Neodiprion lecontei: one gene and its partner. The protein of the gene in region 1 purifies or fractionates together with the protein of each later gene. This does not show direct contact. Links are inferred from orthologs where the notes say so. Each region holds a gene or a part of one and is shown on either strand. Other genes may lie near its edges.

Region 1 (3,284 bases):
GTATTACCGTAACATGCGACGACAGGCAAAATTTGAATTCTCTGACCACTTACGGTGTATATCCTCAGTCAACAACGGTTTCGGTCATGCCCTTAGGTTATGCCCTTGTCATATGCAGGTCGAACTTTTTCGAACCATTGGGCTGAGATCGCCACCTTCGGCGTTACGGGCACACCGCGCCTATTGTTATACGCAGCCCAAAGAATAAAGATTAGCCTACATATGACAAAGACATGATTGAAACCTGCACACACCTGCATCCTGTACGAAAAACACGGAAGGGGGCTGTCGCCCAATAATGACGTGATAACCTCAACTTAGTAATTTTATAATCTTAATAAACAGAAGAACTGGTTAGCTATCATACAATTGCAACAATAAATTATTGCCCTAAAAATTATTCTCTATTGATATGTTACGGAATTTATTGAAAATATTAAACTTTAAATATGATTGTCGGTTAGATACATATAGAATTTATTATGTTCTTAAAAAAAATTGGTCAACTATCAAATAATTCTAACTGCACTAGAATCATCTATAGACGAACTGCAAACAATTTCATTAGTTATATTATATTACATTAATGTTTTGTTGACTAAACTCGTATTAATCTATATGCTCTTACTATTCTCCCGGAAAACCTTATCTAGGGGGTTTCCGTAGTAAACTGTAATACATGTAAATAATACTTTTGGATAGGGTTACAATCATGTTATCTAGTAGTCGCAAGATTCTCGTACTACAGTTGACCGTGGTTAGTGGGGATTATGAAATAGAAAAGAAAAAAATTGTACCGACGGTCGTGTGTTACAGGGGCAAGGGGGGGACACCGAGAAGACCGTCGGTAGAAGATACTACTAGACCGCAGCGACGCGTGTGGCGGCGATCGAAAAGAATATTCAGAGCTCGTAACGGTGTCACATGTCCTCATTGAAATGAGGATTCGTTTCTAAGCCTGTATACCTATAAGACCGTGCTGTATACTGCCTGTGTTTCAAGACTATGGTATATGGTGTAAGGCATTGGAACTTGAAGCAACGTGAAACGTAGAAAATTTAATCACGCAATTTGAAGAAAAAATCTTGCTAACGAAGACAATTTAAGAAGTTTAACTCGACTTTGATATCAGTTCGAAAACGAAATGTCACCGTCTAAAATCGATGAAGTAAGTGCACAGCCTACGATCCTAATTTATCTCAAAAACTCCGACAAAGCTTAAAGTTCATAGAATGTTCTACGGGTTTCGGTTTTAGCTGTCAAATTCGTGACATTTGTATCATTGTGAATTTAATATGTGAACATACAATTTAATTCCCAAACAAAAAAAAAACTAGATCAACATATTCAACCAAAAATTTGATTTGAACATTTTTATACATTGGGTAAACTTTCTGTGAGAATTCTCTGTTAAAAATGATCAACATTACAGATCAAACTGGATATCGAGGAGCTAAATAAGTTTATGGAACAAGCAACTCGACAAAAGACAAAGGATATTCTCACATTGGAGCTACGAAAACTTCAAACAGAATTGTCTAAGCACTTAGAAGGAAACCAAAACCCGGAAACTAAACCAACTTCAACACAAGTGTTTGGTAACAAATGTTATGAAGTTAAACTGAACAATTATGCATGGGATCAGTCAGAAAAGTTTATAAAAATATACATTACATTAAAGAATGTTCAATCTTTACCAAAAGAAGCGGTATACTGCGATTTCATGGAGAGATCTATTGATCTTCGCGTCTTAGGATTGGACAGTCGAAATTATCAGCTTCCTATTAACAATTTATGTGAAGAAATAATTCCTGAACAAAGCTATACAAAAGTTAAAACTGATATGATTGCTATATTTTTGGCTAAAAAATCACCTAAGAATTGGTCCCATGTTACTGGTGTTGAAAAAAGAATAAAAGAATCTAAGACACCAGCAGTGCCTGAAATGAGCGAGGATAGTGACCCAAGCTCAAATTTGATGAGTCTTATGAAGAAGTTTTATGATGAGGGTGATGACGATATGAAGAGAACGATCGCAAAAGCATGGACCGAAAGTCAAGACAAACGAACATCCGGCCTGCCTTCTGTTTCACCTCTTTGAATGATATATTGTTAATGTCATAAACTTATGTTTATATACTATAGAAATTAAGATTTCATAATATACAGGGATTCTCTGGTGAAAGAGTAACCTCTTAGCCACGTGCCCACGCACAACTTTGACATGAGCTAAGCGTAGCGGACACACGCTACGATTGAAAACTTCATCATGTGTTGGCACTGGCAGTGTGCGCGTGGTTCAGAGGTTGACCTTGCATTAGAGATTCTCTGAATGTATACCGCTTTGCAGTATAAGTTCTTATCGGTTTTCTAATGATCATAACTATCGTTTATTCAGCATCGCGAAATATATGTTTCTGCTGTGTAGGAATATGTAACCTTGAAGACAAATACAATAAATAAATTATAAAATTATAATCGCCTTGTTTTTAATATCCCCGAGAGTATTATTGCATCTTCCTTTGATCATGAGCCACAGACAGCATTCGACCACTTAAATCCTATAGAAATGCAAAATTTTAATGATACACACGGGCAATTTAAAGCAGCAGAACTATGTTAGAGGATTTAAAATAACTTCCTTTTTACTTTAGTTTGATAATTACAAATTTTTGTTACCAGCGGTATGGTTTCGAATACTTAAATAATTTATTGCTAAAGGAAAAGAAATTGGTAGTTTTTCTAAATTTGCGATTTTATTTGTTTTCAAATAAATACAATTCGCTTCGGTGTATAATTAATGGCTAGTGTAATTGTAATTTACAAAATACATAGATGCAGTATGGTATTTTGTTCCGCAATCTAACCAAGCTAGAAAAACTAAAATCCTGTTCGACCGTTCATATTTTTATGATGTAAATACCTATGTGTAATTACATTTTCAGACCACTGTTCAGATTTATAAAAAAAATTCGCAATTCAAGACATGGTGGCTACTAGTCAGGAAAAACCGGAAAGTCCGAGAAAAGTCAAGAAATTTGAAATATGGTCAGGGCATGTTATGGCGATGTAATGGGACAAAAAGGAAGTTTTTCCCATGAAATAAAATTTTAAGTTATTTCGCCATGCTGTATTTCATGACCTTCGAATAGAGCACCGATTAATTCGGAACTTCATTTATCAGATATTCGCATTCGCACTATTACTTTGATTTTCAGTCAGGGAAAAATAATAATTTCGTCACAGAAAATCAGGAAATCTTTTCGATGAAGTTGAAGTTAAGT
Region 2 (3,935 bases), on another chromosome or scaffold:
GGAAAAAACAGACTCCCTTCTCCGCAGCACCGCGCCTTCGCCTCCCTTCCGCCGACCCCAGGCCGTGGTGGAGGTAGCGTCAGGTCAAGTGGTGGGGATCGTAGTGCATCTGAGTGGGGGTGTTCAGGGGAGGAAAAACATCCCCTCGCCAAGAACTCCAAAAACCAGAGGGAGCCGTTGACGTTGTCGGCATTGGAGGAGCCGGAGGACCCTGCACCCACTCTAGGCCCCACGGGGGCGAAGTAGCTGGGTCGTCTAGGGCGGAGAGGGTGCCGCGGCGTTATCTTCGAATCACGACAAAGGTGCCTTGAGCGAGGTTTCATTCAATTTTGGCCAGTCATTACATTTCCCCGAACGTTCCGTTTCTTGTGCCACCCACGGATTAGCTCGGCGCTATTAAATATTAATGAGATGTAAGAAAACTCCGGCCAATTCATCCATTCACGCTCCTTGGGATCGTTTCTTCAACCCGTCTTCTGCTCCCACCCTGCGGTTCTTACCCGCCTTTTGCAGCTCATTTCTTTTGCCGCCAACCATCAGGAACTCTTCAATGAACGGCGAACAATGAATATCGGGAAAGCTTGTTACAGACAGAAGACGGACGAGACTGATAACTTGTCGCTAACTGTCCGATGCTTTATAATTAGCCTCGAGTACGAAGACCCCTCGTTTCCTTTTTTGCTTAATCAGAAATCATTGTTCCAGCCTCCCATTATTCTTCTTGATTCGATCGTGCAGTTAGGTAACTCTTTTAGAACATTCAGGCAGAATCTGAATTCAAGTCCGATGATGAGAAGTGAAACCTATTGTTGAGATTCTCACCCACAACTGCTGGAGCTGGACGATGCATAGAGGTTAAAGCACATCTCGCCTCAACCGCCTCAACGAATTAACAAGTCGCTGATTTACTAAACTTTTGATCGGCATGGCGTGTTCGCTTGCAAGCGTAAGGATAATTTTGTAGCAAATTAATAAATTTCAACATCGGTGCAAGGAAATGCTCGTATCAGATTTTTGCTCCCGGCAATTCTATAAAGTCCAAGTTCTTGATACGTACAAATATTGTTTCTTTTACCGATAAAACAGTCTCCTGATGTTGTATCGAATGAGACTACAGACGCCATCTATTGGCTGATGCCTGAAGCGGGCAGGCAGCGTCATCATCTTTTGACTGGAACCAGTGTCTGCCATTTCCGTAATCCATGGTCCTTGTGCCGCTGCTGCTGATAGTGCAAATATGGCGGCCACACAAAGCATTTGTAACAACAGTGCGTATTAATATCACAGTCAACAAATAACGGGGTTAGAACAGTCAGAGTTTGGAAGTGGAATGAAGTGCTGACGACAAATCACCTCGGTACAGACTGTTAATAAACGATTAATTTCCCTTAATTATATAACGCGATTCCCCGAATCGAGGATAAAATCGTCGTCGCCCTGCTAGTGCTGCGTATTATATCTATGTATTCATATATTTCAATAAAAAGTAATTGATGTTCGTTCCTAGTACTGTGCAGTCGTGATTTCGTTTCGCGATTCGGTCGTTAGGTATGACCTTCGCATCTTTTCGCCCCAGCAATAAACTGGCATTTGGAAATTCGACGAGGCGGTGAAACTGCGGACCGAGTTGAGTTACTCTGCTTATCGCACGCGAAGTATTTCTCCCGTTTTGTTCGCCCGTCGCTTTCGCGGCCGTCCATCATGACGATTTTGGCGAAAAAGAAACCCAACGGTACGAAGGACAGACGCGAGCCTGGCAACGGAGCCGAGGTTGATGTACACGGGGTTCAAGTCGAGCATGGAGCTGGTCCGATCGCCTTGCAGTCCAACAGTTCTTATCAGGTAATTAGAGAGACAATTTATGGTTAGAAACATCGCATTCGTTCCCAACCACGTTCGAAGGTTGAGAGAGAAGGAATAGAAAAATTTCACGTCCAGCAGTGGTCACTCATGGTAATCCATTACGTGTGACAATTGGTCTGAAATTAGAAATAAATGCTAATCAGTGTCGAAGGAAATTTTTGCATATAGATTTGACATCTACATTATTTGTTAATTGCGGATTGTGTAATTCCTGAAGTATTCATTTTCACAATATTGTAATGATTTGCCAATAAGCGACCTCTGAACAACACTTCTTTTGTTCCTCACGACATCTATATTTACCATTTGGATGAATGGTTTATCTATTATCTATCCTATGTATCTAGAGTTCAGATAATTGTTTTACTGGTAAACTGGTTTGTACCGATTGATAGATCATCAGCAAACATGCTTGCCTAGGAGAAGGAATCCTCTTTATCGTTGGCTGAAACACTGCGATGAAATCTAAGCTCTGCTTTCTACAGTCTGTTGCTAACATTTCCTATCTATTTCAACTAACGATACTTGTTAATCTTTAATTTTTCAATTCACTGAATTTCACATTTACGATTTTGCTAATCAAAGTTGTTCGTATCACCGATCTCTTATTACAGACTAGTGTTGATCGCCGGGAAGAAAAGCACTTTGAGGAGGCTAGTGGATCAAGCCATGGGAAACGTCATCGCCAACGTGCGAGTCCTCACAGGTATCTAATTTTCTCACCTTGTTATAAAGATAAACTAGCTCGATTGTTTCTCACCTTCCAAATCATCTTTATAATTGCTTGGTCATACTACAACAGCTGCATTGGCAGAACGTCCCGGTCTAAACGTGAAAGAGAACGAGACAGGGGTCGAGAGAGAGAAAGAGAGCGGGAAAGGCAAGCGACTCCACCAACGGCATCATGCAGTGGGCTGCAAGGTGAGAATTGCTCAATGAACTTGTAATGAAATTGTTCAATTGTGATTTTTTTGTTACAACGGTATTATTCATATACCTGAATTTATCATTTGCATACATCCGTAATCCTAGAAATAAAGAAGGAATCACCTTGCCACTAATTATTCTTCAAATTCTAACACTCTAATATTTGCCATTTTTTTAGGTACAGATGCTAATGTTATTGGAAACAACCGTATGGCAATAGTAGCTGGTGCTCCGAGCCTTGAGCCAGAATTAGCAAATGGCTATAACAGTGGGGATGAGTACACAGGTCGCACTGGAAACAATTTGACCATTGCGGAATGGCAAGAGGTTAGTGTTAGCTGCCATTAAAAGAGTAAAAAATAATTACTTGCTACTTCTATTTACAATGAATTTTCAGCGTGACCGATGGTTTGAAAAACGGATGCGGAAGATGGGGTTCGTGGTTAAAAAAATGGGTGAAGACGGAGCATGTCTTTTTAGAGCTGTCGCCGACCAGGTTTACGGTGATCAAGAGATGCACAGTGTCGTACGAAAGCATTGCATGGATTATATTGTGAGTAATTCACAATGATTTCGAGCTTTGTCATACAAAGAACTCGATATCAATAATGTTTACTATAGTGAAGGACCATTTTATTTCAGGCTGCCAATCAGGAATTTTTTTCCCACTTTGTTGCCGAGGATTTCTCTACTTACGTGGACAGAAAACGACAAGAATACGTCCACGGTAATCATATAGAGATGCAGGCAATGTCAGAGATGTACAATCGTAGCGTTGAGCTATTTTGCTACGGAACAGGTAAGCGATTCGATGATGTTGACAAAAGGCTATTTGGTAGAAGATATGTCTTCCATACTATACAAAATCACATGAAAATACTGTTGAATATAATTGACAAAGACGTTTTTCCTTTCGCTTCAATGAAACACAAAAGAACCGATCAACATTTTTCACGGGGTACACAAAAGCGACAACGAACCGATTCGGTTGTCGTATCAACGCGGCAGTCACTACAACAGCATCGTAAACCCCTATAAAGCAACAATCGGCGTCGGACTAGGTTTGCCCTCGTACAATCCCGGAGCGGCGGATCGTGCTCTCGTTTCTGATGCGGTTCGACAGAGCGAAGAACTGCATATTGAAC

Evidence for each region.
Region 2: the proteins of calcyclin-binding protein (region 1) and OTU domain-containing protein 5-A purify together in Homo sapiens (affinity purification with mass spectrometry; 4 studies listed by BioGRID and IntAct, with this or other methods). This does not show direct contact. The link is inferred for Neodiprion lecontei from reciprocal best matches to the Homo sapiens genes CACYBP and OTUD5.

The regions. Positions count from the first base shown.
Region 1 is NC_060262.1:27,525,480-27,528,763, reverse strand, and holds calcyclin-binding protein, read left to right. Parts: upstream 1-957; 5' UTR 958-1,144; coding exon 1,145-1,168; intron 1,169-1,432; coding exon 1,433-2,101; 3' UTR 2,102-2,478; downstream 2,479-3,284. UniProt on the Homo sapiens protein: May be involved in calcium-dependent ubiquitination and subsequent proteasomal degradation of target proteins. Probably serves as a molecular bridge in ubiquitin E3 complexes. Participates in the ubiquitin-mediated degradation of beta-catenin (CTNNB1).
Region 2 is NC_060264.1:33,610,013-33,613,947, forward strand, and holds the start of OTU domain-containing protein 5-A, read left to right. Parts: upstream 1-1,210; 5' UTR 1,211-1,357; intron 1,358-1,507; 5' UTR 1,508-1,701; coding exon 1,702-1,842; intron 1,843-2,477; coding exon 2,478-2,569; intron 2,570-2,665; coding exon 2,666-2,784; intron 2,785-2,968; coding exon 2,969-3,117; intron 3,118-3,187; coding exon 3,188-3,343; intron 3,344-3,432; coding exon 3,433-3,589; intron 3,590-3,725; coding exon 3,726-3,935. UniProt on the Homo sapiens protein: Deubiquitinating enzyme that functions as a negative regulator of the innate immune system. Has peptidase activity towards 'Lys-48'- and 'Lys-63'-linked polyubiquitin chains. Can also cleave 'Lys-11'-linked ubiquitin chains (in vitro).